Oreochromis niloticus: one gene and its partner. The protein of the gene in region 1 binds, or shares a complex with, the protein of each later gene. Links are inferred from orthologs where the notes say so. Each region holds a gene or a part of one and is shown on either strand. Other genes may lie near its edges.

Region 1 (13,618 bases):
CAGTTCTTTAGTTTTGCCCAAAGAATTTACCTAAAGTTTATATTACAGCTGCAACGATTAATCAAGTAATTCGAATAAGTCAATTACAAAAAATTCTCGACACAAATTCTTTGCTTCGATGCTTCATTTAATCCACGGCTCTGTAGCGTGCAGATGTGTTAAACAATATATACCTGAGTTTTTCACCCGCATTTGTTAAATTTCTAAAAACTGACCAAAAAATACAAACGTTTTTAGGAGCAGTGAATAAAAAGTGTAAATAAAAAGTGTGACAACATTAGCCCACAGCCCCCAGTTCTAAACAGAAACACTGATAACACAACAGCAGCAATGTTGATGACACTGGCACAGTTTAATGTGAAAACTTCCAGATTAGACGGTGTGGGATAATGTTTGTGATCAAACGGATTAAAGATGCACTTCATGGCCCAAGCTGAACAATGCCAGGTGTAAGAATTATGCCTTATGCCTGTTAGCAATTTTAAACATATAAAAAAGTACAGAGAACTTTAAAAATGAAATAAAGAATAGGAGAAATATTATAAGTTAATAACAATTCGCAAGTTCAACTAATATCTGTCCACTTGTGAATACCACCTGTGCCTTACTTGTAAACCGCATGTGTTTGTTATTTTCCTGTGTAAATCATAAATCGTTGTCAATTTTACTTCCTGCATTAGTTTTCCATCCTTGATTGTATACCTCATGCTGATTAATCTCACCAACTGTATATCTGGTTACTTCCTGTTTTATTTTGAAATTTCTGTATGTCTTACACTTAACTTAGTTATACTTCCGGCCTTTGCTTTGTTGCACTACCACACCTGTTTCCAGTTAGCCACTGGTCTTAGTATATACAGCTCCAGCTTTGCACTAACCACTTGTCATCTGGTAAACTTGCTTAGTCAAGCTTCCCAGCATTCCTCATGATTTTGTTATTTTCCCTTGTGAACGTCTCATTTCCTTTTGGACAGCTCTATGGACTTTGCCTTTTGCCTACACCCTCCCAGAGTGGTTTTTACTCTGCCTATGTGTATCCTGCATTGGGTTCTCTTCCTGATTTTTACAGTAAGATCTGGCCAGTATGAACCCAGATGCTACTTTGTTTGCTGGGGAATTTTATGATTTTATCATTTACTCTAATCTGTCTTCATGGTGAATCGAAGAGAGCTCTTAGTTGGTATCTTAAAAAGACTATACTGAAAGTAGTGCCTTTTTAGACTGGTTATGTGGTCTTATGCTCCTAGCCATTCAATGCTCTAGCCTTTCCAAGATGATAAGGTACAACACTGGGTCAATCAATCAATCAATCAAAATTTATTTATATAGCACATTTAAAAACAACAGTTTTGATCAAAGTGCTTCACAAATTATGAAAATAAATAAATAAAATAAGACAAATACAACGCAAGACGAGACAAACATAGAAACCAACCAAATGATAATCAAACTATCTTACATCAAAGCCAGAGTAAAAAGATGGGTCTTTAAACGAGATTTAAAAGACTGAACAGTCTCAGAAGAGCGAATGGCAATAGGGAGGTTGTTCCACAGTCTAGGAGCTACAATAGCAAAGGCACGGTCGCCTCTGGTTTTCAACCTAGACTTAGGTTGCATTAAGGATTATAGGATTATACAGATGAAGAAGTTCTGTTAAATAGCTGGGTGGCTGAAATGACTGAAGCTTCCCTGCTCCAAAGCCCCATGGAAACTCAGCTGCCCAGCACTGCAAGTGGACAGACTGACTCGACTTGTACCTCTCCTGTTTCCACATCTATCACTGGAAGGTCGTTCGAAAGGCAATCAATGGTTCCCATGCTCTTGTGTCATAGGCAGCTACTCATTCTTGAGTAAGTGAGGTGTCCCAACTAGCTTTCCTGTATTTAGGCAGCTCATTTGAACTCACCTATTCATGATCTGATCTGATCTGATCTAGGGTAAAGTTTCCTTTTTTCCTTCGGCATCAAAATTGGGATTTGTTCTAGAAAGTTAAAAACAAACTAACCCCTCTGAAAGGATTTTCAAAAATGTGGTTTTGGACAGCATCTTGTCTGTTCTGTATCAATCAAGAACCCTACCACTGCGATGAATAGTGATCCCTTCCTAATAATATGCCAAAAGCACTTTAGAAACTCCCACCTGAAACTTAGTTTTAGGTTACCCTGATAGTACAAAATGCCCAGCATCCACACTGACCAAGACATACTAACATCCATAGAAATAAGCTTCTATGTCAGGGGTGTCCAACTCAAGCCCTCAAGGAGGCCTCAAAATGCTGCAACAAGAGTACTGATAGGGACTAGAAAGAGAGAGCATATTTCTCCTGTATTGGGTTCCCTTCATTGGCGCCCTGTTAAATCCAGAATTGAATTCAAAATCCTACTCCTCACATACAAGGTCTTAAATAATCCGGCCCCATCTTATCTTAGTGACCTTGTAGTACCATACGACCCCATTAAAGCACTTCGCTCTCGCACTGCAGGCTTACTTGTTGATCCTAGAGTATTTAAAAGTAGGAGGCAGAACCTTCAGTTTTCAGGCCCCTCTTCTATGGAACCAGCTTCCAGTTTGGATTCGGGAGACAGACACTATCTCTACTTTTAAGATTAGGCTTAAAACATTCCTTTTTGCTAAAGCATATAGTTAGGGCTGGATCAGGTGAGCCTGAATCCTCCCTTAGTTATGCTGCAATAGACATAGGCTGCTGGGGGACTCCCATGATGCATTGAGTTTTTCCTTTTCAGTCAGCTTTTTCACTCACTATGTGTTAATAGACCTCTCTACATTAAATCGGACTTGTTATTAATCTCCGTCTCTTCCACAGCATGTCTTCTATCCTGTCTTCCTTCTCTCACCCTAACTGATGGCCGCCCCTCCCTGAGCTGCGGTTCTGCCGGAGGTTTCTTCCTGTTAAAAGGGAGTTTTTCCTTCCCACTGTCGCCAAAGTGCTTGCTCATAGGGAGTCATTTGATTGTTGGGTTTTTCTCTGTATGTATTATTGTAGGGTCTACCTTACAATATAAAGTGCCTTTAGGCGACTGTTGTTGTGATTTGGCGCTATAAAACTAAAATTGAATTAAACTGAATTGAAAAGGGGCGGTGTCCTGCAGGTTTTAGATATCACCCTGGGTCAAAAAACATCAAATGATTAGTTCATTAACAGGCCTCTGGAGAACTTCAACACATGTTGAGAAGGCAATTTAAATCAGCTGTGCTGGATAAAGGACACATCTAAACCTGCAGGACACTGGCCCTTGAGCCCTGGACTTGGACAGTCCAGTTCTATGGGAAGTGCACTGAGCAGTGTAGACAAAAGGGCATCACCCCAATCTACTTCTATCAGGATGATGCTATTTTGAAACAAATATCCAACACTAGTAATGACAGATGCTTTCACTGAGCTGAGCAGACTCAACACAACCATACAATCAAGGAGGCAACTCTCCAACTTACTGTCAAAGTCCCACCAGAACAGATGTTTGCAGAAGTTAACACAGCTCGACTAAAGGCATCACATAAACTATTCAGAGTGTGTATGCCACTGCAGCTATCCTGAAGACATGTAGACACATGTGGGTAGATCACACTTGCAGGTTAGACAATTTTTTTTTTTTTGCCACTGTGGCCCCTACACTGTGGAACTCTCTCCCCCAAGCATTAAGAACTGCGGACTCAGTAGCTGTTTTTAAAAAACAACTCAAAACTTACCTTTTTAAAACTGCTTTTGGTTAATTTTTTGCCCGTTTTATTTTCTCTTTTAAATCTTTTTATGACTTGTAATCTTATGTGCAGCACTTTGTGATTCTGTCTTGAAAGGTGCTATATAAATAAATAAAAAATTAATTATTTATTTATTTGTTGACCAAGAAATTAATCAGCAGGAATATCCCTAATTCTGTGAATGAGGATATGCTCACTTTTCTTAATTGCAGCAACAACATACTCACTCATTGCACATTTAAACACACAGGCTGTGTCCAAATTCAGGGGCCGCATCCTTCGAAGGACCCGGCCTACGTAGACCAGGTCCTTACACATGAACACACTCCTCTTAATGTTTAAGAAACCAGTCACCAGTCTGATGCAGGGCTGACATTAAAACGTAATTTCTAAAAGGGAAACCAATGAGTAGTTAATTTTAAAACACATGTGTTTTTTCTTTTTTGAATATGAATGTGAAGTGGCCAGGTGTTGTGGCTGGAAAACAAGCTCAAACCATCACCCCCTTCTACCACGCTTAACAGTTGGTGAGATCCTGATACCATGTATTTGGTTTTCTCCAAACGTGGTGCTGTTCATTGTGGACACACATCTCAATTTTGGTTTTGTCTGTCGGAATGACATTGTTCCATAAGTCTTGTGGCTGGATGAGATGCAAACCTAAGCCATGCTGTCATTCCTTTTAGAGAGAAAAGGGTCTTGGCAGCCCTTCCAAACAAGCCATACATGTTCAATTTCTTCCTTATTTTAACATACTGAGGCCTGTAAAGACTGAGATGTAGCTCTTGTGTTTTTTGCATTTTCTCTAAACAGTGCAGACTCTACCCATGAGTTGAATTTACTAGGACATTGACTCTTAGGAAGATTGGGAGCTGTCTTGAATGTTTTCCACATGGGAATAGTCTTTCTAAAAATGGCTTTAAAACCATTCCCCGAGTGGTGGTAGTTTCTCTAAGATCACTGATGATGTTTTAGCATTGCGTTACACACCTATTTTTGCTTAGTTTTTTTTCCAAAATAAATAATGACATTGTATGTCATGTGTTCATCAAGTTTTATTTACATAATTTCAGCACCTGGTAAGGACCTAATAATTGTTTTATTATGTTCTCATATGTAAAACTTAGAATTCACCTGGAGCCCATTCTCCATACATGGATTAATGTTTCTGATGTATCAAATTTTTGAAAATTTGGCATAATACCAGCCAGTATTACAGTTAGTGTGATGCTATCACAAGATAAGATCTGTTTCTTTCTATTCTTTATACGCATTTCATTTAATCATAAACCACCCAACAACATTAGGGTTTTGTATGATTTTGAAATTAAGTAAGAGCTGTATTTTCTTCCAGTCTCCTCATTGGTGTGACTGAACTCCCCAGGCATCTCACACAGCCATGGGAATTGGCTCATGTCTAAAACAAATGATTTCTTGTGGACTAGTGGCTGCACATGTTGTCTTGACCAAATATGGCTGAGTTAAAACACTACACTCCAACCACGGCAACACATTGGAATGGAAGCAGGTTTCCTTAACTGGTGTGAGAATAGTCCATGATACAACTACCAAAATGGGATTTTACTCTGTTACCTGAATTTTGTATGGCTGGTAGATTAGCTCAGATTACTACACAGCATGGCCTGAACCTTGAATACTGGAGGCCTTTCTTCATTTCTCTACAGCCCAGATCACAGTGCTTCACCAGTGTATTACATGCATAGTGGCTTGGCAGTTAAAAGTTAGCTTCAGCTACACATGTGAAGCTGGTTAATGAAAAAAATCCACACACACACAAGACATATAAGACTACATCAACTAACAAAGAATCTGTTCAGCTAAAAAGAAACACAACACTCAGGAAGGCAAAGACAGCACATCACAATAAACTGGATTATTGGATTTCTTTTTAGTTCCAGTTTACGTTTTGTTCTTACTTTTGTAAGACCTCATGATTCTCTATCTTTATCTCTTGCTCCCCCGCCTCCCCTTAAAATAGTTAGATTTTTACTTATTTATTTTAGCTGTGGTTGTGGTTGAAAATGTGCAGTCCACTGAGAGCATGCCATCTTGTGCATATATTAACTGTTCCCTTATATGTGTTCTAGTGTCAGATAGTTACCTAACATGTAACAAAACTCCTTATTTAATGAACACAGGCTGATCTTTACAAGTTCAAAAAGAAGGTGAAACATTTACTGAAGACATTAATTTTCAGTGAATGATAAGTGTTTATTTATCCCAAAATTTGGGAAATTACTGTGTCACAGCAGCATGATATAAAAACATAGAATAATAGAATATCAAAATGTAAAGATGTAAAAATCTAATGAGATACAAGTTTAAATACAAAATCAAGCAGTTATTAATTTTTATAACATTCTTTTAATCAATTAATGTAATAAGCAATTTAACAGAGACAAAAATGCTTTTGTTCGGTTTTTAGTTTATTTATTTACTCATTTTAGGTGAGCCTGTCTAAAAATGTACAGCTCTTAATTCTTCCAGGCTAGTTTCAACAGGCCGTCCTTCAGCCTGTAGAAAGTACCCTTTGTTTTTTCCTTTATTGCTCGATGGTTAGTAGACATATCTGCATCCAAATGCCTTCATTGTGTTGCACAACACATCACAGCGGTGTAAGAATTTACACCCAGAGGCGATATTTTTTCTTGTTCTAACAGCTGCATAACACGCCCAGGACACTTATGAGCGGCCTACAAAATGACTGTGATGAACTGAACTTGCATGCTGTAGGTCAAAAGGGGAACAATACAGCTGCTAACTCCTTTTAACTTTGACACTAAAACAGTTTCATAGTACAAAGGTAACTTATACACATCTCATCAAAATGCGCGTATTGTAGGGAAGCATGAGAGGACAGCGACATGGCACACAGAAAATTCAGATGTGTGTGCGTGTGTGTGAGAGAGAGAGAGGTGGTCTGTCTTTTGGCGCTTGATACTTTCGATTCGTCTCCCATTTGTGTGATTTAACTTCTGGGTTATCATATACACTACCGTTTATCCGCTCTCTACATTAGAAGGCCCAAGTCTGCATACGTTTACTAATCTGTCTCGCTTCCATGTCGAGTCTGTGGTGACGTCAGGGACTTCGCGTTTTTAAAAAAAAACGAAGAAAAAAGCTAGAAACTTTTCAAAGTTAGAAACATTCAGTCTGACCTGGGCGCGTTAATCCACTCTCGTCGACGGCCACTCAAACACGGAAAAACAGAGCTGATTTAACGATCCTTAAATTAACTCCCGACAACAAATAAAGTTTTCCACCAGGGGAAAGGCCAGAAGACGACTTTTTCTCAGTTCCTCTCCCTATCCCTCGGCAGCGGCTTGCGAAAAACTCCACCCTGGCTCAGCGCGTCGACGCACAGAGGGGCGGTGTAGAGTTCGGGTACTGTTCTGCAGCAGACGAATAACACTGAGCGTGTTTTCATACTCTTCTATTTTGTTTCCGAACTCTGTCTGTCTTGTTTTCAATACTAAATCAACTTAATTTGACTCTTAATGCCACGGACTGTGCTGGAGGAGACCGCGGGGACGTTCAGATCTGCTTTGCTAGGGTTTCCGGGTAGACAGACATGTTTCCTTCAAACGTTGGCCAGCTGCATTTGAAGTTGCCCAGGCTGGTTCGGTGGGTGTGTCAGAAGTGTCAACATCGTCGTATTATAAAGCTGGTTTGTGCACGAAACGCTGGGGCCACATAACGGTAAAAGTGGCAGCTCCATGAAACTTCAACTTATCTTACTTTTTCTTTGGTCTGAACACTGCTCGCATCCGGCTGTCATCACTGACAGTGACGGAACCGAAATCCAGTGTTTCTCTTCTGTAGCCCTCTTTTTAATGTTCTCTTTGATTAATTTTTTTTAAAGTTTTTAAAAAGCTACTATCTGCAATACAAACAATAATAACAAAATAACATTGAAGTCTAAGGTGGCTTTCTTACTTGTCATTCCCTGTCTTACAAAGCTCTTGAACCTGTGACTTACCGGGATTACTTTCTCACCATCTGCAAGGATATATAAATTTTCAGTTAAAAAATAAGATTTCAAATAAAAACTTTAGTTTTGTCCCTGTAGTTTTACAATAATAAAAGTAAGATTATTTTTCTTTAAATAAATCTTAATCACATATTAAACACATTTCTTTTGTCTCTTTATTATTATTATGTTATTATAGTATTATAATATTATATTATGTTATATTATTCAGTCAGTGTCAATGGTCACTCAATATTAATTTGCTGTTTTTAGGGAAAGGTATATTTTCTGTGATTATTGCAAGACATCTCTAATGTTCAAGCTATTTTTAATACAAATGTTCTGCAAATTAATATTAATTAAAAAGATGGGAACTGTAAAAACAGATTCTGAATACATATTAAATGCTTCAGTATGCAACTCTGCAAAGCAAGTAGTAGTGGCATAGCCTTTTTGCGAATTAAGTTTAGTGAAATGTTATTTAAAATCAGTGAAGGAAAATGGATAGATGGCTATTTCTTCTGTCAAATAAGCAACTTACTAAAACAAATTAGTCATCTATTTTGCCACTGAAACAAATATTTTGTGTTCTTTTATGGTATATTACTTTGGATAGATGTACAGAAATAACAGAAAATTACCGTTGTGTAAAAACATAGACATTTTCCATCATTTTATTGCAGTTTTACTGCTTTAAGTAACCTAAGATCTTGTATATTTCTGCATATGTTTTATGTTAATTAAAAGCTATTTACACATGTAAAAACAATTACATTAGCATTGTTACCATGCACACTCAACATCACGAGTGAGTAGAGTTAGTTTAACAGCTTAATAATTAGCTGACAATTCAACTACAGTGTTGCAGTTAGTAGTTAGAGGATTTAAAATATAATAATTCTCCTTATTATTTGAAAAAAATCCAGGAAATATTGGCAATTTAGAATCTAATCAAAAACTAGATTACTGAAAGCCTCTAATAGCCAACAGCATTGTTGAATCTATTCTAAATTTAATGCCACAGAAATGATGCGCAATAAATCCCACTTTCCGTTTATTTGTGATCCTTGCAAAATCATAATCACGAATTCTTTAATCTATTAAAGAGCATTAAAGAGGAAGACACATTGTTTTCTGTAGTGTGAAGTATATATGAGTCAGGAAAACATTAGGTGTTTCCACTTATTAGAACAGGATAACAGTGTGTTTGCATTTTAATCTGAACTTAACTTAAGATGATTTTAGTCTTTTAGTTAATCAGTCTATCTCAGCTCGAGCCTGTCCTAGGGCAAAATGCGGGGTATACCCTGGACAGGTCGCCTGTATGTCACAGGGCTAACAGAGACTGAGAACCATTCACACCCATCACTACAAGCCTTTGGACTGTGGGAGGAAGCTGGAGCACCCGGAGAGAACTGACACAAACACAGGGATGCAAACTCCACACAGAAAGACCCTGGCCTGATGGTGGAATTAAACTCAGGACCTTCCTGCTGTGAGGCAACAGCGCTAACCACAGCACCACCATGCTGCCCGCAACAGTGCTAACCACAGCACCACTGTGCTGCCCACAACAATCCAATTCTGATAACTAACCTAATTATGAGAAATTTCATGGACTGACAAGACAAAAGTTGAACCTTTTGGAAGGTATGTGTCCATTACATTTGGCATAAAAGTAACACAAGTAACACTTCAAAAAGGAAAAATCATACCAACAGTAAAATATGGTGGGGGTAGTGTGATGGTGCCATTTTGCTGCCTCAGGACCTGGAAGACCTGCTGTGGTAAATGAAACCATGAATTCTGCTGTCTACCAAAACATCCTGAAGAAGAATGTCCATCCATCTGTTCATGACCTCAAACTGAAGCGCACTTGGGATCTGAAGCAGGACAAAGATCTAAAATGCATCAGCAAGTCCACTACTGAATGACTTAAAAAAAACCAAAATGAAGACTGGAGTGGCCCAGTCAAAGTCACTACCTAAATCATATTGAGATGCTGTGGCATGACCTTTAAAAGGCAGTTCATGCTGAAAAGCTCTCCAATGTGGCTGAATTACAACAATTCTGCAAAGATGAGTGGGGCAAAATTCCCTCACAGTGCTGGGAAAGAATCACAAGCGCTTGATTCCAGTTGTTGGTGCTAAAGGTTGCCCGACCAGTTATTAGATCAAGGGGGCAATAGTTTTTTCACATTGGGTCATTTAGCTTTGGATTTATTTTCCCCTTAATAATAAACACCTTCATATAGAAACTGCATTTTCTGTTTCCTTGTGTTATCTTTGTCTAATATTTAAATGTGTTTGATCTGAAATATTTCAGTGTAACAAACATAAAAAAAGAGGAAATCAGGAAGGTAAACCCTTTTTTGTTACACCACTTTATGTTCAATTTCTCAATCACTTTGCTATATAAATAGTCAAATGATGACAAATATGAGGATGGTAAATTTATGGCAAATGGCCTGTATTTGTATAGCGCTTTTACTAGTCCCTAAGGACCCCAAAGCGCTTTACACAACCAGTCATCCACCCATTCACACACACATTCACTCAATTTATTCAAATTATGCCAATCTAATGTATGTATGTAGTCACCCTCATTCTACAGGAATAATAAAGGATTCTTCCATGACAAGCAGCTACAGGAAATTTCTGATGGAGGTTCCTGCTTCTAAGAGGTTGTCAAACTACAAGTTACTGAAATGAAATTGTTTGGCTGCTTTCTGCTTGCACTGTTTGCAACAGAGACCTAAAAGTACATGTGTAAATTTGTGTAAATTTAACTACTGAATTTAATTACAAGATCAGACTGGGCTTTCAAGAATCATAGGACAAATTACTCAAATTCCAGAGGGTTTACAAAGGATTTCTAGCAGCTGTCTGTACGGTACCTATATTTTTTCCCTTGAAACACTGATTAGATTGGATGAATGTAAAATTCAGATTTCTTACAAAGGGCCACATCACAAGAAGACAACCTTGCAGGTACTGGCTATAATGTTTCCATGACAACATTTTTAAATAATCTTCTTTCCCCTTTTTGGTTTCTGTAATAGACTGAACTGTTTGTGTACATGTTGAGGCAATAAATGACTTGCTAACTATTTAATTCTGTAAGTGAACAGTGGTTTAGAAAATGACAATGAATGAGAATGCAACCAATGACATTACCCAGTTTAATGAATTAGACTGCAAATATGAAGTTTCAGCTAAAGTTCCCTCTGTCCAAGAACATGCCTTTTCTTGTCTGACCAGTTTCTCAAATTCACAGAAAGTTCTTTGAAAAATGGAAAATTACAAGCCAGAGACAGTTTGATATTTTTGATTTATTTATCAGTGAAATGTTTAACACTATTAAACATTTTCTTACAATAACCCCTCAATAAATTGATTGGTGTCTCAACAAAATAAAACCAGGTATGTGTTACAAAGTATACAGTATGCTACAGTGCATATTTTCGTTTTTCTCTCTTTTTTTTTTTTCTTTTTACAGATTTACATTGGGTTTTAGATATTTGGCTCCCGGAATCAGAAGTTTAAAGACAACACACCATTTGCCTACTGGAAAAAGCTCCTCTTTATATAGCATCATTTTGCCTCGTGTTCAACTGTTCTGGTTTATGATGACCAAGTGACATTGTAAAGTCAACGACTTTATAAATAGAAAACTGATGTAATTAATACAACCAGCAGAATACGGGTAGCACCTCCATCATATGCTGTGACAGCAGTACAATTTTAAATCATAAAAACAGGTGAAGCATACTCTGCGGGGGGTTTTTTTCATTAGAGAAAAACCTGAAGTCACATCATCACTGGTTGGCAGCTGTCAGAATCAATCATGCTATGTCTATGTCTGTTTATGGTTCTCCCAAATATAGCTGTTCATGAAATATAAAAGTTGAAATAAAGGATAACTAAAATAAAATATTGTGATAACAGACTCTGCTCAGGTTTACTGTCCTGCAGTAACACATGAAGACAAGGGGACTGTTTGTAGTCCTCCACTAATGGAGATTTAATCATAATTTTGCACGACACAGCACTTTCTGTTGCTATTCATCTGATCTCTATTGTCTCGCATAGTTTCCAAACTGCTGGAACTTTATAACTCTCCGAGTAGGTGCAGAGTACTTTCAGTTGCTGACGGCTCTTTCAGATCCAGCCGTGGCTGCAGGCATACGAGGCATCTTCTTTACTGGACTTGGGATGTGCTGAAAGAAGAAAACATAATCAACATCATGAAAAAATTCATTACTGCCCATATGTTGAATTTTAACAGGTTAGATCACTCTGATTATATGGGAGAAGCAATGCTGCATGTGCAGGAGGATTCTTTCGTAGATGGGCAAAAGGGCTTCAGTATCTTGTCTAGGTACACCAAGACATGCAGAGAGAATGCTGATAACTCCACATTTATGTTTTACATAAACCGTCATCCATCCAAGTGCCCAGGAACACTTTTCAGGAAGCCAAATGGTTCCTTCAGACCACTGCTTGTTTGTTTGCATTTACACTGTGAAAAAGAACCATCTGACCAGTGTAAATCTGAGATGACAATCACTTTGGCTCAGAAGTAAACTATATTGCCAAAAGTACTCACTCACCCATCCAAATCACTGAATTCAGCTGTTCCAATCACCTCCATAGACACAGGTGTATAAAGCACCTAGGCATGCAGACTGCTTCTACATGCATTTGGGAAATGATGGGCCGTTCTAAGGAGCTCAGTGAATTCCAGTGTGGTAGTGTGATAGGATGCCACTAGTGGAATCAAGTCCATTTGTCAATTTCTTTCACATTCCACAGTACGCCCTTAGTGGTATTATAACAAAGTGGAAGTGATTAGGAATGACAGCCACCAAGTGGTACGCCGTGTGAAAATCTGAGGATGCTGAGGTGCAGAGTTTGCAACATTCTGCAGAGTCAACACCTCCAAACTTCCTGTGGAAATTAGCTCAAGGACAATGTGCAAAGAGCTTCATGGAACGCATTTCCCTGGATGAAAACTCATCCAACCCTTTCACCACCAAGCGCAATGTGAAGCAGATCATTTGTTAGAGCAGTTGAGACGTCTTCTCTCCAGTTACGAATAACAACTCTCTGTTTGGCAATTCAATGGACAAGTCTGGGTTTGGCTGTTGCCAAAAAGAACTTTTTTTGTCTCACTGCAATGGGCCGAGTGTAAAGTTTAGTGGATTGGGGATTATGGTGTGGGGTTGTTTTTCAGGAGGGGCTCAGCTCCTTAGTTCTAATGAGATGAACTCTTAATAATTCAGCATCCAAGACATTTTGGACAATTTGATGCTCCCAACTTTTCGAGACCAGTTTGGGGAGTGCCTCTTCCTGTTCCAACATGACTGCACACCAGTGTACAAAGCAAGGTCCATAAAGACATGGATGAGGGAATTTGATGTCAAAGAACTTGACTGAGTCCTGATCTCAAACCTATAGAACACCTTTGGGATGAATTAAAGAGGTGATTATGAGCCAGGCCTTCTCCCCCAACAGCAGTGTCTGACCTCAAGAATGCAATTCTGGAAAGGGAAGTGTCTAATGGGGGTTTCTGCCACAAAGAGTGGACTGACATTACTTTAAACTAGATGGATTAAGAATGGGATGTCACTTAAATTCATATGCATGTGAAGGCAGACAAACAAATACCTTTGGCAATATAGTGTATAGGGATGTGCATGACTAGACAACTACAGGAGTAATTGTCACTACTGTCACTAGTTGGTACCAGATGTACTAGTTGTTTAATGTAATTGTTTTCAATTGATGCCAAATATCAGTAAATTGTTATCTTCTAAATGTTATCTACCACCAGGTGGAGCTGCCGCTCTGAGATTGTTGTTGACAAACATCATAAATCTCTTAATCTCACCTGATCTTTTTGTTG
Region 2 (16,728 bases), on another chromosome or scaffold:
AACATACACCTCCCCAGCCTGCATTTTAGTTGGAACTGAAGTGTATTTATATGCTTCCAGGTTTTCTGTGCTAGCCTAGAGCAGTGCCAAAATGTGGGTACCCTACGACGCAATGCTGTGACTTAACACATTTGATAGGTTAAAGGTGTTACAGTTTCTGTGTCTGTGAGGATGCAAAGGTTCACCTGGCTAGAATGCCTAAAGCGCTTGAAATAAAGGTAACATGACTTCTTTCTGATGAAAGAAGACATGTTACCTTTCATCCAAGTGGCTTAGTCGGTTCTAAAAACTGATGGAGAGTCACAGATATTTAACTGCTGCAGTTGTGGTCCTACGGGCTGCTGAACCCCCCATCACTAACTTGTTACAGATAGAGATAATGGATGACAGGTAAAACCTCATTCATGAGCTAGTTCACTTCAAGCACTTAAGACTACCATGACCTCGACGACTGAGAACCTACACAGACATATTGTGTATGAATTCTATAAATTTTGTTATTAGACACTGAATGCAAGGTTCTGTGTGGATCTGCTTTTCGGCTAGTCCACAGAGACATTACACTACAAGAGATAAACTACAAATGCAACTACACGTGCTTCAGCTGGACTTCAAAGAACTACACTAACTGGAATCACTACTGAATATAATAAGGTTATGCCTTGTAGACACAGATGGATGAAGCAGGGAATGTTCCTTGGGTTAAATGCTGATTTGTATTAGAGATGCTAATAAATTTCCATACTATTGGCTAAAACCAGGTCACCTGTTTCCCCTGTTTGCAGTTTTTGTGCTAACTAATCACTAGGTTTGCACTGGTCCACTCATGAAACTGTCCTCCAGAAAATGGTTCACTGCATTTCCCAAAATGTTAAAATACTGCTTTAACAACCTCATAATTCAATACAAAAAGGTTTAATACAATATGGATGTTAAGTATTAATATATACATATTAAATGATTCATATGCAAAAGTAGACATGCCAATGTGTGTGTACATACGCACAGACATACATAAGCACCATTTCCAAGTATGCACACCATTTACACATACAGACACACACACACACACTCACACATTCAGACATTTGATGTAGAATTGGTCACTGCTCAACCAGCCGAAGTACTTCAAGCAAAAAGCAGTACTTTTAGCATCTAAGTGTTACACCCTACAAAAAAAGTAATCATAAACGTCTATACAGGTGCAGAAATATACATTAAAGATAATGTGACAGGATATGTGGAAAAGAAGACTACATTTTATCAGCCCGTATTCGTCCTTTGGTGAATTTTGAAACTGCTCTGCAATTCAACATGTGCAAAACTGTCTTTTTCCACAAAATGTACTGATGAGAAAAGCTCAGCCCCTTCTTGGATCACACTGCCACCCAGAGAATTGAAATGTTAGTGCCGCCCTCGTGTGCTATCTGGTTAATTCGTCCACGGATGCAGTCCAGCGTGACGTACAGAGCCGTGCCATTCTGGACCTGAAATGAGGCTCTCAGCCCTACACTGGCCCACTCGCTTCCTTCAGGCATAGATCCTGACACCTGCTGAGCCACAGGACCAGCCTGCTTGCCCTGACCCCCTACCCGCTGCAGAGTGAGTTTAACTATATTACAAGAGTGGATCAGCTTGAGGTTGAGAGCTATGTTCACTGTTCCTTTCTCGCGGAATATAAAGTTCTTCCGGCTGTTTGGCTCCCCAGAGCGGGCCAAGTGGACCTGCGGTGTATCTGGGCTGATCTGCTGGAACAATAGAGGTTTATTCCTCACCGCTCCAAAGGGAAGACCGGTCCTGGACACAGTCGCTGTAAAGGCTGACGACACTGCTGAAGGAATCCAGATGAGACTCAAAATACTGATTCCAGTGCTGTCCCCAAAATAGCGGACGTTGCACTGAGACGGGGATGTGATCTCGAAGTTGAGCATGTCTCCACTGTCCACGCTCACAGCACCAGAGAGTGTAATGGAAGTGTCCCTGTAATTAACACCAGTCTTAAAATTCTGCATCACCTCTTGGCCGGTTCCGTTGCGGTTAATATAGGCAATCAAGGAGAAACCCTCTCGAATGCAGGTGTGCCCCATGGAGTAAAACGCTTGCTGAAGGACAAACTTGACCACTCCGCGCTCGGTGAAGCGCACCCCACGGTTGTCATGAGTCAGGCTGATCATGTAGGGGTCTGAAACTGAGGTTATGCGGAAAGTTGGGCGGTAGCTGGTCTGGTAGTGCATCAGCAGGGACATCTGAGCTGTCATAGCTACAGCACCAGTATCATGAGACAACCAGAGCAGACTCAAAGAGGGCCCTGCGGCATCGTACACGTGAAGATCTTTGCTCTGATTGCAGTGTTGATTTGGACTCCTCAACAGCAGTGTGAAGGTGTGGTTAGGCTCCACCTCCACCCCGGTACTGACGCTGACCCCCTGGAAATACTTCCCATCCGGTTGTTCGATGCGAACACCGCTGAGGTCCTTACCCTCCTCTTCCTGGCTCCCATTTAGCCTCATCCCCAACTGGAGGAAGTTCCTGCAACTGTGCTTAATTGCAAAGTTATGATCCAACCACACCAGCCCGTGCTGCTGGAAGGTCAACTGGCCCAACTGGTTGGACAGCAAATCGCTTTTTTCTTTGCTTCGTATGTTTAGCTGAAGCCCAGGAAAGATGTGGGTGCCAGATGACCTGGCGGGGGGAACTGCCACATTCGCCATCCAAGACTCAGAGAGCCGGGTCTCCGAAAGCTGGCCACAGATGGCGTCACTGACTGCTGTACAGGGAACGGTGACAGGCTCTCCATCACAGTCAGAGCAGGCTTGGCACTCCTGCAGCTCCTGGTTGTAGAAATATTCATGACCGCACAAGCCCATTATTGCGTCTCTCTCAGAAATGCCCAGACACCTGAATCCCCCTGCAAAATAAAAAGGCCCAAACAGGCTCTGACAGCTGCATAGACACATAGCTCAGTAAAGTGTGGCTGTTTTCTCAGTGCAAATAAAGTTTTAGATAAAGTGGTGGAAAAAGTTTTTATAACAGAGAAAAAATAAGGAATAAAGACTCATTAATTATCAGCAAAATAAGCATTGCAAACTCACCTGGAGTATTAAGGCACTTCACTCGCTCTCCACAAATATTTGGTAATTCAAGGCATTCGTCTCTGTCCTGCAAGTCATGAAAATTAAAAGCATCACCATGAGTGTATCCTGTACAACAATAACTGGGTTTAACTGATGCATTCTGTGAAGCATTTAAACTTGATCAGGAAATAAATGAGATGAGCGATCTAGGCTCAAAAGTATAAACATTCTCACCTCCACATCAGCTATGTTTGGATTTTGGCGTATGCTGGCATACGCTTGGAAACCACTAACTGGAAACCACCACGTGAAACCTCAACTAGCTAAAACCGCTTCACACTTTTTTTTTGTTTGTTTCCATTTTTTTCCTGTTTTGCTCTCGGTTTGTTTCAACACATCGGATGACGGCATACCTGGCACATTCTGTCCGCAGTTGGAGAGCACTGCGAGACGAGGAAGAAACCTGGTGGACACATGGTGCACTTTTCACACCGAGGTGGGTCCTTTTGAAAGTCACAGTACTCCTCTGATCCACAGGGTGAAGGGCATCCCAGGAGAGGCTGAGGAAAGTGAGCCTCCCCGACCACATCCATCACCTTAGAGTTGATGTCCACTTTGTGGACGGCGTAGGATTTCTGCAGGTGGCTGCGGGCTTGGCTTTGCAGTCCAGCCAGCTGGCTCTCGAAGTAGCTCTGCAGCTCGCCCTTCAGGCCCTGGAAGGAAACCTGTTTGAAGGTGTCTGAGAGAAGACCGTACTGGGCCTTCACCACATCCATTTGCTCATACATTCGCTGCTGCTGCTGCAGGATCTCACGCTGCTGCGACAGCAGGGCCTCCTGTTGGTCAGCGAGCTTCTGCTGCAGATCGCGGATGATAATCTGCTGGGCTCTCAGGGCCTCCACAAGCTTCTCCTGCCCCTTGGACAGCTGGAGGTGCAAGATGAGGGCATCTTCTGAAGGAACTTCATTCTCTCCTGTCATGAAATAAATGCACAGTGAAGGGAAAGAAAAACAGGGAGAAGAAATCGATTAGATGTTGTTAAGCCTTGTACTGAGGTGTGACTTCTCCAAACAGTGCTGACAGTAAGTGTGAACAGCCTGTGACTCCAGCTGCATAGCCAGCCACAGGCAAGTGTAGCCTACTAAAAGCTTCCTGTATGGAGCCACATCAAAGCATTCAAAATTTTCTGGGCAATTGACTCTGAGACATTTTTCCAGTCCAGCTACTCTTTGCCCTGCAGGTATCTTTTCTTTTCTTTCTTTCCTTTTTGTGGGGGGAGGCTGAAGGTCAACAAAGTTGTCCTTTGTCTCCAGAACACTCTTGTGTTGATTATTGGTGAGAGATTGTAAGTCAGTAAAGAGTAGCATGCATTTGTGTTATTTATAGACGCACAGCTTTTAGTAATGACATGTCACTTTTAAGGAAATTGTCAAGAGTCACAATGTGCACAGTCTGGATATTTTTTTTTGTTCCTGGCATGCAGGAGCTTATAATATAATGTAAAATAAATAAAAACGTTCTTGATTTGAATGCTGGATGAGAATTTTGATGAACATAGCAGACCTGGCTTGATATCACATGTGAGCTGGACACCTAAAGGCGCTGCGCCAAGTTCCGACGATGGATATTCAAACTCCGGAAAATCCCCCAGAAACTGCGAGGCTCTGTCCGACAGATGTACAGGAGGCACGCTCTCCTCTGAACCGGCCAGACATCCTTCTCCCACACAAGCCACTGCTCGAGCTTTTGGCCGTATCCTCAGTGGCAGTCTGCACTCGATCCCTTTACAGTCTCGGGTGTCATTGCTGGGTTGAAATTGTTTCACATGAACAGCGCACTCCGCATCGGTGCATCCTGCAGGTAAAACTTCAGGCGCACTCCTCCGAGTGCTGCCGTCGCTGTGCCGCCCGCGCAGTAGCAGCTGGGCGCCTGGAAAAGTCTCCGATGCCGCTCTTGGAGAGCTCGGGTACACGCGGTGTTGGCTGGCGGCTACATGAGCCGTTTTCCCCTGCGTTGACGGGTTAAACTGCCGCGGGGGTCTGGAAGATCGGCTCCCCGGACAGTGCGCCCCGGTGCACGGTCTTGGATCACCGGTGTCTCCGCCATAGCAGTGCGTCCCCCGGCAAATCTCCGCTACAGCTTGCGCGGCGTTGTGCAGCGATACCCAGGAGAGTTGCAGCAACAGCAGAGATGTCAGTAAAAGCATTTTCGCATCTAATATGTGGGCTTACTCTGCCTGCAAAAGAAGGAAACGCGAGGTAAGAGTCCCAAATGGAAAACCTGGAGGAAAAGATCTCAAAGGTGATAACTCAAGCCATCACTGATCTCCTTCTTGATTAAAGCCACCTCTCACACAACTGAAACAAACTTTACAGACTTGGCAGCTCATCTGTGCACATTACCTTCAGCTCCGGGGTTTGGTGAGGCTGGCTTTTCCCGACCGTCACAAAGGAGTAAAAACACTGGACTCACGCATTACTGCCGTCTCTCTCCATGCCTGACCCACTCTGAGGGCTTCGGCACTACAATGTCAGTGTATGTGGCATTCCTGAGACTTAATTAGCATCAGGTTTCCCCAGCTACAAATTAACCCTTCACCCTCTCCTCTCCCTTGAGTTCCCCTCTGAAGTAAAAGGTTTTGAAAGAACAAGAATAAAATAACATTTTTGATGCCTGAAACTGAAACATCCCTAATTTCAACCTGAAACAAATAAACAAAAGGGAAAAAAAATGACATGCATTTTAATTGTAACTCATCTTTTCACTTTGCTCACTGTTGACTTTTCTTTGACCCTGTGGCCCTCTGAGTTGCAAAAACATACAGTACTTTTTGTTTAGCACACCCTGAATGTTGAGACAGCTGCTGGTCCTCGACCCAGCGTCCTCCGTGCTTCAGCACTGGCCTTGTCAACCCTTTTTATAGACAAAGCGAGCAGAGGTCAAACTTTTGTTGAAGAGACCTATGGCAGAAGTCAGGAATGTGAAAAACACATCTGGGTTTTGGACTCGCTCCCAATTCCTCTCCTTTTTTTGTTTTTAGTGCTTCTGCACAAGCACATAAGGTTATCTGAGGATGATGTTTGCATGGATGTGATTAGTTAAGCAGTTCTGATATTACTGTCTTATTCAAAGGTTCAGGAGCCAAATGAATAGATTCAAAAGTTGTATGATCATATTTAACTGAATAACTCAAGATTTAGCCAAATTTCGGAATATTTAAAGCAGAATGCTGGATATTTTACAGCATCATGGGTACAGACTCGTAGAAATGTCCATGTTTTAGTTTACATCACTCATTTATACATTTTGCGATTATTGTTTCAGGGTTTCTGAGGTGTTATTTTGGGTTAAGACTTTGATTGTTGTGGACATGTTTGTGTGGATGTGGTTTCCAGTGTTTGTGTGACTGACAGCAGAGTTAGGGTTTAGCAAAGGAAAGGGGCCACCATGAATGAGGCTCCTGTAGCGATTAATCACATCCAGCCACCGTTTCTATTCAGGGTGGCTGTTAAAAATGTTGAATCCAAAAGATTTCCTGTACCCATCTGGTGCAAAGAGGTGAGGAGCTGAGGCGAGGCAGAACTCAAGAAAGACAAGTAGCTGCGTCCAGAGTGCAACTTTTCATCTTCAAAGTAAAGACGAAAGGTTACTAACTTACTCACTAATGACGGCCAATCAAATGGCAGTAATTTACTGTAAAGCTTGTATTCTATAACACACAGCAGTGTAAATTTGATTAAAGACATCACACTGTACAATTAAACAGTTTAATGCTGGTAAAAATGTATCTTATGATTTTATTATAACATAATCAAGGCTTTTTCTCTTTTAATTTTGTCTTTCCATGTCACATATTGGGCGTTTTTGCTCACATTTTCGACTCAGCCAGTCACAGCAGTCATCCTAGCCCATGTTAACAATAGCAAACCTCATTGTACTCATTTATTGGCCTCAGATGGCAAATAAATTCAGCCAAGCAGAACAAGGAGGGCTGTATCAGGAATCCATTTGTATGTTCTTGCATATACATTCAAAAACATCCAGCTAGCAGTTGCTTGTTATCCCGGTGCAAACTTGCGGTGTTGATTATTGCACCACAAAGAGGGAGTGGGGAAAATAACTGCAGGTTGGCAGGTTTACACCTCCCACTGATTTCAGTCATGTTTGGCATGTACAGTACAGCAAAGAACAAACAGAGGGCACTAAAAGACTCCTGTACGCATCACTTTTCACATCATCTCAGTGACGGTTTCTCCTCTGCAGCACTACATATCGTTTTGCAAGGTGCCCACTGGTTTTGTCATTATCACCCCATTTCCTTTTAGTGCCCAGGCACAAGAAATGTATCTCGAGGTGTGTTGGAGCGCTCAGAATGCAAACTAATGGCTAAAAAGAATGCTCCACACCTCACACCTTACCATATGCAGTTCTGCAACTTTCAAGCCAACAGACTTTTCTTTGTGCAGTAGAACTCAAGGCTCGACACTGCAGATCCCCCCTTTAAGCGCACAGTTTGATTAAATAACTAAAAAATAACAATCTCGTTCAGCTTCTTGGCTCGGTGCTGTGATGTATGAGCTGCAACATATGCTGGCAAAAACCATTATCAGAATCAGCTCTCCTGGACCACCCTCAGTCTCCGAGGAGAGAGCGCAAACGCACGGCGGAGCAGACAAAAAAATCACCTCGCTCTCTGCTGCCGAGCTCCACAACCGTTAATCAGTGTATTTATTTGAGAAATCTTCTCCGAGGCACCGGCGTGCTTGTGTTTGGGAGATGTTTAGAGCTAATGGGAGGCTGCCTTTGGTGTCCATCTGTTTGTCAAACCCTGAGAGAATGAGGAAATGAGGGTGGTTGGGACACATGCTTGTACCCAGGGTGTTTGTTTAATACATCACGAGTCATGAAAGACTCTTGGAAGCATTCAAGGTTATTTGATTTCTCCCTGTGGTGCTCAGCTTTACCATATGATGACGGGATTTTGCCACAGTGGTGGTCTGTCTTTGCTGTCGTGGCTCAGGCTGGTCTTGAGGGGAAATGGGACCTAGAAGTGTCAATATTAGTAAAAATGAAGATAATTTGTTCTGTTAGGCATAATTTTGTATTCATTTTTTTATATTGTATGTGAATTCCCTTTAAGGTGGAAAGAGGATAAAAAAAGAGATCAGAAATCTTGTTTTTGGCCTCCCAAGATGACTCAAGGAGAAATGCAAATAAATACAGCTATCTGTGTCTGCACGGTCAGATAACAGAGCCAGAGGCTATTCATAGTTTGACAGTTTAACTCTCTTTGGTTCCTCCTAAAGATAACTGAATTTGTTGCACCACACCATTACCCTAAGACAATTCTTCCTGATTTTAACTGTAGAAGCTAAGATTTCATGTAAATTAATGTATTCTAGTGTACTCTGCTTACATTTATGAGGTGTGTTAGAGGTTGTACAGCAAATAATGCGCTTCATTTAGGCGAGTGTATTTTCTCACAAGAATTTAGACAAGTAAAGCCCAGCTGAAGTGTCTTTCACCACTACAGCATGCCACTCCTGTCTACAGACTTGCTGTAAATCAGTTTCAGCGAGGTGAATTATTAACCAAGACCCGTCACATTCCTCCCGCTGATTCAGCCTTTCTCTCGATCCAACTGAAGCATTTCTTTTTTCTTTCAATAAAAAAAAACTTCCCAATCTGCTCGAGTGGCTGTCAGTCACCCTCGAAGTCTTGGTGAGAAGCCACAACACATTTATGATTTCTCCCTCTCTGCCCCCGTTGGCACAGTTACAGTACAGTGCAGATAAGGAGCACTGTTAAGGAGGGGATGGATCAACGCTGCCCAGACAAGAGTGTTGTGAAAGTGCTGAACTCTGTAGTAGGAATGCAATGACAGGTCTAGACCTGAACTTCCGCATTAAGCAGGAAGAAGCCAACAGTCAGACAAATGCAATCTTCAATCCACTCGCACGCCCAAAATCTGCCTGCATGTGATATTAATTTTTGGTGTCAAGCTTAATTAGAGACTAGTTTTTCGAAGTGGAACTGATGTCCATGAAGCTGTTATCTTGAAACTTAGTGGCGAAACAAAGGATTAACACATTTTAAAAAGGTGAGTTTCATCTCTGTTAACTTGGATGTTGTGTCTTTGGATATAACGGTAACAACCGAAGCTGCTTTCCTCTGAACGCAGAGCAAGAACATTGTTCATTGATGTTTGAGCACATTACAAGTGAGGATTGTGGTCGCTGTTGTGCTGAAAAACAAACAAAAAATAAATGAGAGATTTGTTTGTAATATATGTATATTCAGCTACAGCAGAATAATTTAGCTTGAGAACGCTATGTAGAGATATGTTGCAGATGATAATCTTAGACATCCTGTCAAAGTTTGTGAGTTACAGCGCGCTCTGATAAAAACTCTCAAAAGGTTTTAAATTTAATAGTACGAGAAATTAAAGAAAACTGTTATTAGAAGATTTTTTTTCCCCATGAAATAAATAAATAAATGTTTTAATTTGGTGAAAAGAATGTAAGTTCATATCTTTCCAACTGGGTGGACCCCGCTATCGTCTCATAGTGCTGTATGACTCAATAACCACATGAAACTAATAGGGCTGGCCTCTTATATTAAAGTTAATAGTGCTGTCAGTTTGTTGTTGATGACGGGAACATTTTGTATATTTGGCTTTTGGCATTTTTGACGTTAAATCATGTCACAAAAATATGAAGTGAATTTGTTATGAGTATAACTGAACGCGTTGCTTTCAGAGCGACGGATTAAAAGGCTTTTAGTCGAGGGGGTGTTTGCTGTTTCTTAGAGATGTTAAGCAAGACATTTTGTTAAGGGTACTGATTGTAGCAGGTTTGAGTCTGATTTGAAACCTGCTTCGGCAAACATTAGGGTTCTGATTATTCATTTTCATACTCTTCAGTGGTTTGTGCCTGCTACTCAACCTCTAATTTGCCTACTTTGCAAAAAGTCAAGTCAAGTCCTGTAAACACATCTGCTTAAGAGCCAAGCACGGAAATATGATCTGATCATAAGAGGGAGAGTTTCTGTATGTTATGGTAAACACTGGAGTTGATGTCTGCTTTTGATTTTCTACCCTGGAGCTACATATGTGTGGCATGTAAAAGGCTGAGACATATATTTGAGATTATTGGGGGAGGGAAGGGGGGAGGGGGGTGTTCTAGAGGAATGCAGAAGCTATAAGCTATAAGGTGCTTTTAGATTTGCTGTTTTTTATTATAAAAAGTACAACAGTACAGTTGCCACTTTTCACAATGCGCTCATTTGATGCCCAACAATAACATTTAAGGACGCCGATTGGTCACAAATGCCCCTTGTCTGACAATAGAATAGTGAAAAGTGTGAAGAGACAGTGACACAGTTTTGTGAATCGAAAGTGTGAAAATGTGACTAGAAGTTCACAAACATGAACTCTGTTGCGGTAAATTGATATATTGAAAGGCACATAAAGCTACAGAGCTTGCAGAGGAAAAATTCCTGGTGTTATTAGTTTGGTTTCTTTGTAGAGCTATTACTCATTCATGAACAGGACACTGGGGTGACTTTGAATAGTTTAGTTGTTCTGGTCTTCAGCTGTCGAGTTTCCAGTTTTTTCCGGTTACTGATGATAAAATCTTTGGCCAGATTTCTTTAAAAATCCTTTAAAAGTCTGATTTTAAACGGTGCTTTAATCATGGCCGTTTCCTTGTGAGGTATTATTGAGTATTTGGTCAAATGTAGGATTTTTTGTGTTTTCTGAGAATAGTCGATTGATACTCCACAGACTGTACAAATAATCAGATCTAAAACGTATTTGTTCTCGTAGCCACCAGGGGGCGACTCCTCTGGTTGCAAAATGTTACGCTTTAAAGCCTCATTTAATATAATACAACACTGACTTTATTCATTATGTTTCCATTTATAGTAAAGTAGATGCTAAAGTTGGGTATATTTCACAACGTGTCAACATTGTGTTTGACAAATTGCTTGTTTTACAATTCACAAACAGCTACTGTAGCTAGGTAAGCTCTGCCAAAGTACACCAAACTCATCCCCTAAAGCTTGAAAATATAAAGTCATGAGTACATTATATTCATTAGTTTCTCTTAAAAAAAAGTTAAATTTCAAAGGTGGATTTGGTCACCTTTGAACAAAGCTAGGAAACCTTCAAGCTTCAGAATCCCCCGTCCTTAAGGTCACATTTGAGTAAACCTAATTAGTCCACCCATAATCATACTAGTGGCGTTGCAATGACTCTGAGGTTAACACCTTTATCTGTATATCAGGTGCAGGATCACACCTACAAATAGCACAGAAGAAGTCCATTTCTCACGTTGTGTCTGAGATATCACTCCACTAATGCACATGTCTAAGGCACTGAGGGAGTGTCTTAAAATTGGGTCAATTTGTTTTCACCAGCGGAAGCCGTCTTGTTTTCACGGTCTGTTCCTGCCGCTTCTCACTTCTCCTTGCTAATCTGGGAGCGGTTCATTTCATGCATTTGGTGTCAAAACACAGCCTCCCAGCAAAATCTGATCGACTGACTAAACTTCTCTTTCAGTGACTTTAAAACTACTGACAAAAGGTAGCACCAGACGTTCAGAGATGGTGCGTTCTTTTACTCGAAACGTCTTATGCCGACCACGTATAGGTGAAAAAAAGTGACATAATGAGAACTGAGGAAACAGTACCATGAAATTTGCAGGCAGCTGCTTGTGTCACCATTTCCGATACCATTTCAACATTGCAAGTTCCAGGAAGTTTACCAGTTACCACTTCCTCCTGGGGGTAAACCGTTTGTGTAAAAGGTGGAGGATTGCGCTCACGTGCTATAGCAGTGAGCCCCACATATGTACGTCACGTGGAAATTATGGTGCGCAAACAAATTCTATCAGTGCGCAGAGGCGTTTCAGTTTATGAGCCGTGCGATTTGATATATGACACCAGAAGATTAACAGTTTCTCGTGAGCTTCCAACACGCAGCATCTGTTAGATGTTTGAAACAGTATTGATCCTGTATAAACTCTTTCCTGGAACACAATCAGTCACTCTTGTCTCCTACACAGTGTCAATGAGAGATGTACTCCTGTGTCTTTTAATTAAATTCCAGCAATTTATTTTTTTCGTGTTGGATCTAAATGTCATTAAACACATTCCAGACACTGTGACGAGTGAAAGCAGGGAGTTAAACTCTGCAGAATCGCCCAATATTTTCCTCTCTAATGGACGCTACCACAGCAGCAGAGAAAACATAAAGACTAGAGGATGGCAATGCAAACATCTGTGCAGAGAATCTCATTGCATGAGTTAAACAAATTAGATCAGGGGTGGTTTAACAAAAGAGATTGCAGCCACCCCCAGCCTTCCTCTTGCATGCCCCGTGAAACGCTTTTAATTAGTGCTTAATTTACAAAACCAGTCAGAAATAAGAAGAAAATGCATTACATAACAGACTCATACACGTTGTCATGCTTAGTCACCCTCTAAAGACTCATACAGAGGCTGAAAAAACACCATAATAGGGTAGTGTGATGCTAAGCATTCTTGCAATATGAGATCTGGCTGAGACACAAAACAAGTACAGCTCATCGGTTTCTTAATCAGTTTAACCACACCAAACTTGAGACTAACCCCAGCAATTTATAACTGACCTGAGGTGAACCGAAGCTTATATTTATGCAGGTTAATCACAGTCTGTCAGAATAAGTAAAACCAGCAACACCTGGGTTAGCTGGTAAGATGTCTTGATTAAAAAGCGTTTAAAGAAAAAAAGCTCACACTTGTTTTATTGCTTTGACCATGAACATATTAAGAGTGAATCAGGTGTTAGTCAGTAACTGCGCTGCACCATGCTGACATCGTTGTGACGTCAGATTACAATATTGAGTAACCTTTATAAAACATTATGCAAAGTGGTGCTGTTTTTTTCACATTGACTCACATTGAGATGTTTAGATGAGCTGGGTGTGTTTGTTATCATCACTCTATCTCAGAATGTTAGAAGGATAAGATCTGTCTGAAAGCATTAATTGAACATATTCTTCTTTTATATTGTTTCACAAATGTACAAGTTCTGACCAGTGAGATCTTTTGACCTGATGATGGTGCTAAATGTACTAAAGATTCAGACTCATTCTAATTAATTAATAACTGCATAGTCTGCATGTCAAACAAGAATAGTTATATCTTTCCCTTCAATCTCTTCAGTAGATACTTAATAGATAAGTAGTAAAAGTCATGGAAATCTGTGATTAATCCTCTGGGGATCATGACTAATATATATTTTATTGCAATCTTTCTGGTAATACAATCAGGCACAAGCAAATGTTTTCTTGTTATTTTGTAGCATTCAGGTCAGTAGAACGTGAGAAGGTGGAACCAGTGAGTCCGGATGGTTTACTGGTCACGAAACTCCTCTAATCAATTAATTTAGTAGTGACAGCTTCAGCAGTTACCCAGTCATACCTTATGTTAACAAGCCTTGAGTAAAAATATATTTGCAGTCATGTGAAAAGTAGGCCACTGCCGCTATCTTAATAAGTAGCAGCCAGGTGCTGCTAACCAAATGCATTTGATTAACTGATCATGAGCAAGTGTGAGCACGTCTATAAAAGCAGATCTGGACTATTCAGGTTTGTGTTAATGCAATGCCAATGGAAAAAAGACATCAACGGTCATCTTAAAGAAGCAGTTGTTTAATTGTCCTGTGAAAGGTTACAAGACCATATCCACACACTCTGAAGTCCAGCAATCTACAGTGAGAAAGATTATTCACAAGGGGATCTTTTAAATAATCTTCCCAGCAAACCATCACCCTGATGTCAGATCATGCAATACTCAGACAAACTCCAAAAATAGCTACACCTCAGACTCTACCACAGTTAGCATGTCAGTTAGCATAAGTTAGCAAAAGACTTGTTTGCAGGGGTTTCCAGGAGAAAGCCTGTTCTATCTAAAAACAGCATGGCAGCACTGTTTAGTTTAGAAAATTTGCATCTGAACAAACCACTCTGTATACAGAAGTATGATCGAGTGTGTGAGGCCATCTGTCCGACACATGACGCTTGGCTCGAATCCGGTCATGAAATAGGACAAAGATCCAGAGCACAGCATCAAATCTACAACAGAATGGCTGAAAAAGAAAAGAATCAAGGTGTTGCAAAGGCCCAGTCAAAGTCCAGACCTCAACCCGATGGAAATGCTGCGGTGAGACGAGCTGTGCATAAATGAGTGTCCTCAGACTCAAAGAACTGAAGCAATGATGTAAAGAAGAGTGGGCCAAAGTTGCATCTTTATCAATGAGAGACTGATAAAGTCATGCAGAAAATAATGTTATATTATTGCTGCTAATAACGTAAAGTTATTAGATTATAGAAAAGGTGGTTCTATAATTCACTGACTTATGGGGTGCACTTAATTTGTGGTACAGCTGTTGTTATCAGAAACATGCTATACTGGGAGCAGAAGAGTTAGGAGAGTCCACATGTAACCAGTATAAAGTAAGCTACCATTAGCACCACTTTAACTGGATGAACTCCCATTGACACCTTCAGTGTTTCTGTGGTACCACTCATGTACCAGCATAAGAAAACAGGGACTGTTTTGACTGCACATTCCAGACCATCATAACATTTGCTTTGAGAAAAGAGGCTTCAAATAATACGTGCAGGGGAGACGGCCTACTGTGCATAATTACGAATGTAAATCTCAAGCGAGGCCTTCGGAGTAGTTTTCAAAAAGGCACAGTGACCACGGTGGCTCCTCGGGCTATTACTCTGCTTAAAATGAAAAACATAACCTTCATTATGCTGACAATTCGCTTCATGCATCCACATCGGGGATGTATATAAATCTGTACCAGCCTGATGTATGAGTCCATTTTGAAACTTGATCAGCAGTTTAGAGCAATTTCGAGCTAAGCACATTATGGAAGCTTGCATACTTTATGCTCTTCCACTTTCCTTAGGCATCGGTATGTTGCAGGCAGTTTTTCTTCTTCTTCGTATAACGATTCAAACAAACACTCATCATACAACACGAAGCATGATTTCAGTACACGAGACCGACTGCTTCCCTTAAAAAAAGCTGGGACTGGTTTAATTTGGCATCTGTGTAGCAATCTAAAGCAAAACAGCTGGAAGATGGCATTTAAAAGAAGTTAAAATCATCATATTGGTGGTTTTAAAATCCAGATTACTAAAGAACACAGCTGACAGCTTAAAAAAGTCAACTCTGAATATGACAGAAAAGGCAACATAATATTTACTCACTGCTTCACTGACTTGCTCCAACAAGAGACAACAAGTTCTGGCAAATAATGACTGCCTGCAGTTATGCATACACACTTTGTTCCTTCAAGTCTGGGTTGGACATGTTTCGCAATATATCATAACCTGGGGAAACATATTACATCTGCAAATACTTCACAGTAAAGTAGTAGCACTGTATCAGCACTCACTGCCTGCACTTGCTTTTACCCATGCAAATGGACATACCGTCTCTTTCATCTTCATTAATCAGTGCAGCCCATTAATACATATTATAAAGATTATATTTTGTCACATTGGAAATAATGATAATTTCTATATCTGATTCTACTGTTGATTCTTTCACCAGATGGACGACATTGACGCCATGTTCAGCGCCATGCTGGGGGAGATGGACCTCCTCACCCAGGTGACTTACCAGCCATTGTTTGCTTATATATTTTTATATATACTTATTCTATTCTTGTTGCTTTATAGCACAAAATACCCTTAGAGCCATCTTTTCAAAAAACAAACACTGAATATGTAGTTAATTTTCGGTTGGGTGAATAATGTGATTGCTCCTGTCTGTTCTGGTGTGTACAGCACTTTACAAAATCGACACGTTGTAGCTGTGACAACAAAATAAAACAAAGACAAAACCAAGAACTGAAAGAGGAAAGAAGGAGTGGATGACGCGTATCCAGGCACACCCTGAAGATACATTTTTCTGCTTCTTTTATCCTCCAGTTTCCAATATCTGAAATAAGCGGGTGTCATTTTTTCATCTCTTTTTCTCTATTTAAATTTAAATATATTTAAATTATATTGTATAGAATGTATTAAACATGACAGGATTTAATATAATACCAATATAAAGTAGCAGAGGAGCTTGTGCCACTACCGCATTTTCTGTTAATGAAAGGCATAAATCTCAATGTTCATGCAGCAAATAGACAAAAATACATTTTTTTGTTCAAGCTGCCCGTGATCAATTATCTCGCCTAAGACTTAGAGATACTTTTCTTTTTCAGAGAAGATGACAAAGTAACAAAAACCCACCATCCTTAACTGAGACGCTCATGACTGGGACGAAACACACTTTGTGGTCATCTAAGAACCATAAATACCACCCTTTTCTGGAAGGGTGGGTTAAATGGCAAAACCCAACCGAGTAAAGATTACGCCTTTTTTTTCCCTCTTAGTAAAAAACCCCGCCGATCACTTTAATGTTTTCCATCTCAGTTCTTCCAAGATGGGGTGTCATATTGTTCATACAGTGGGTACACTCTCACTTTTAGCCCCCAAAAGAAAAAAAATACAACTCTGTCCTCTGTCATAATGTTGGTATCAGAGCGCTCAAACACAAAAGTGTGCTCCTCTGTGGTGGGGGGTGGGGAAGTATTTTG

Evidence for each region.
Region 2: the proteins of tln1 (region 1) and apbb1ip are in contact, whole or in part, in a crystal structure (PDB 4W8P), measured with the Mus musculus proteins. The link is inferred for Oreochromis niloticus from reciprocal best matches to the Homo sapiens genes TLN1 and APBB1IP. Residues at the interface, in NP_035732.2 of Mus musculus: Leu1492, Ala1495, Thr1496, Val1498, Ala1499, Thr1502, Ser1503, Cys1506, Asn1507, Arg1510, Val1526, Ala1529, Lys1530, Ala1533, Asn1534, Thr1536, Ala1537, Val1540, Ile1543, Lys1544, Asp1547; in NP_062329.2 of Mus musculus: Asn5, Ile8, Asp9, Met11, Phe12, Thr14, Leu15, Glu18, Met19, Leu21, Leu22, Ser25.

What each region holds. Positions count from the first base shown.
Region 1 is NC_031972.2:10,400,172-10,413,789, forward strand, and holds the start of tln1 (talin-1), read right to left. Parts: upstream 7,718-13,618; 5' UTR 6,900-7,717; intron 1-6,899. UniProt on the Homo sapiens protein: High molecular weight cytoskeletal protein concentrated at regions of cell-matrix and cell-cell contacts. Involved in connections of major cytoskeletal structures to the plasma membrane.
Region 2 is NC_031974.2:12,461,520-12,478,247, forward strand, and holds the start of apbb1ip (amyloid beta A4 precursor protein-binding family B member 1-interacting protein), read left to right. Parts: upstream 1-8,977; 5' UTR 8,978-9,174; intron 9,175-15,689; coding exon 15,690-15,749; intron 15,750-16,728. Other genes in the region: uncharacterized protein nell3, read right to left, coding at 1,377-2,908, 3,093-3,159, 3,488-4,047, 4,638-5,280. UniProt on the Homo sapiens protein: Appears to function in the signal transduction from Ras activation to actin cytoskeletal remodeling. Suppresses insulin-induced promoter activities through AP1 and SRE. Mediates Rap1-induced adhesion.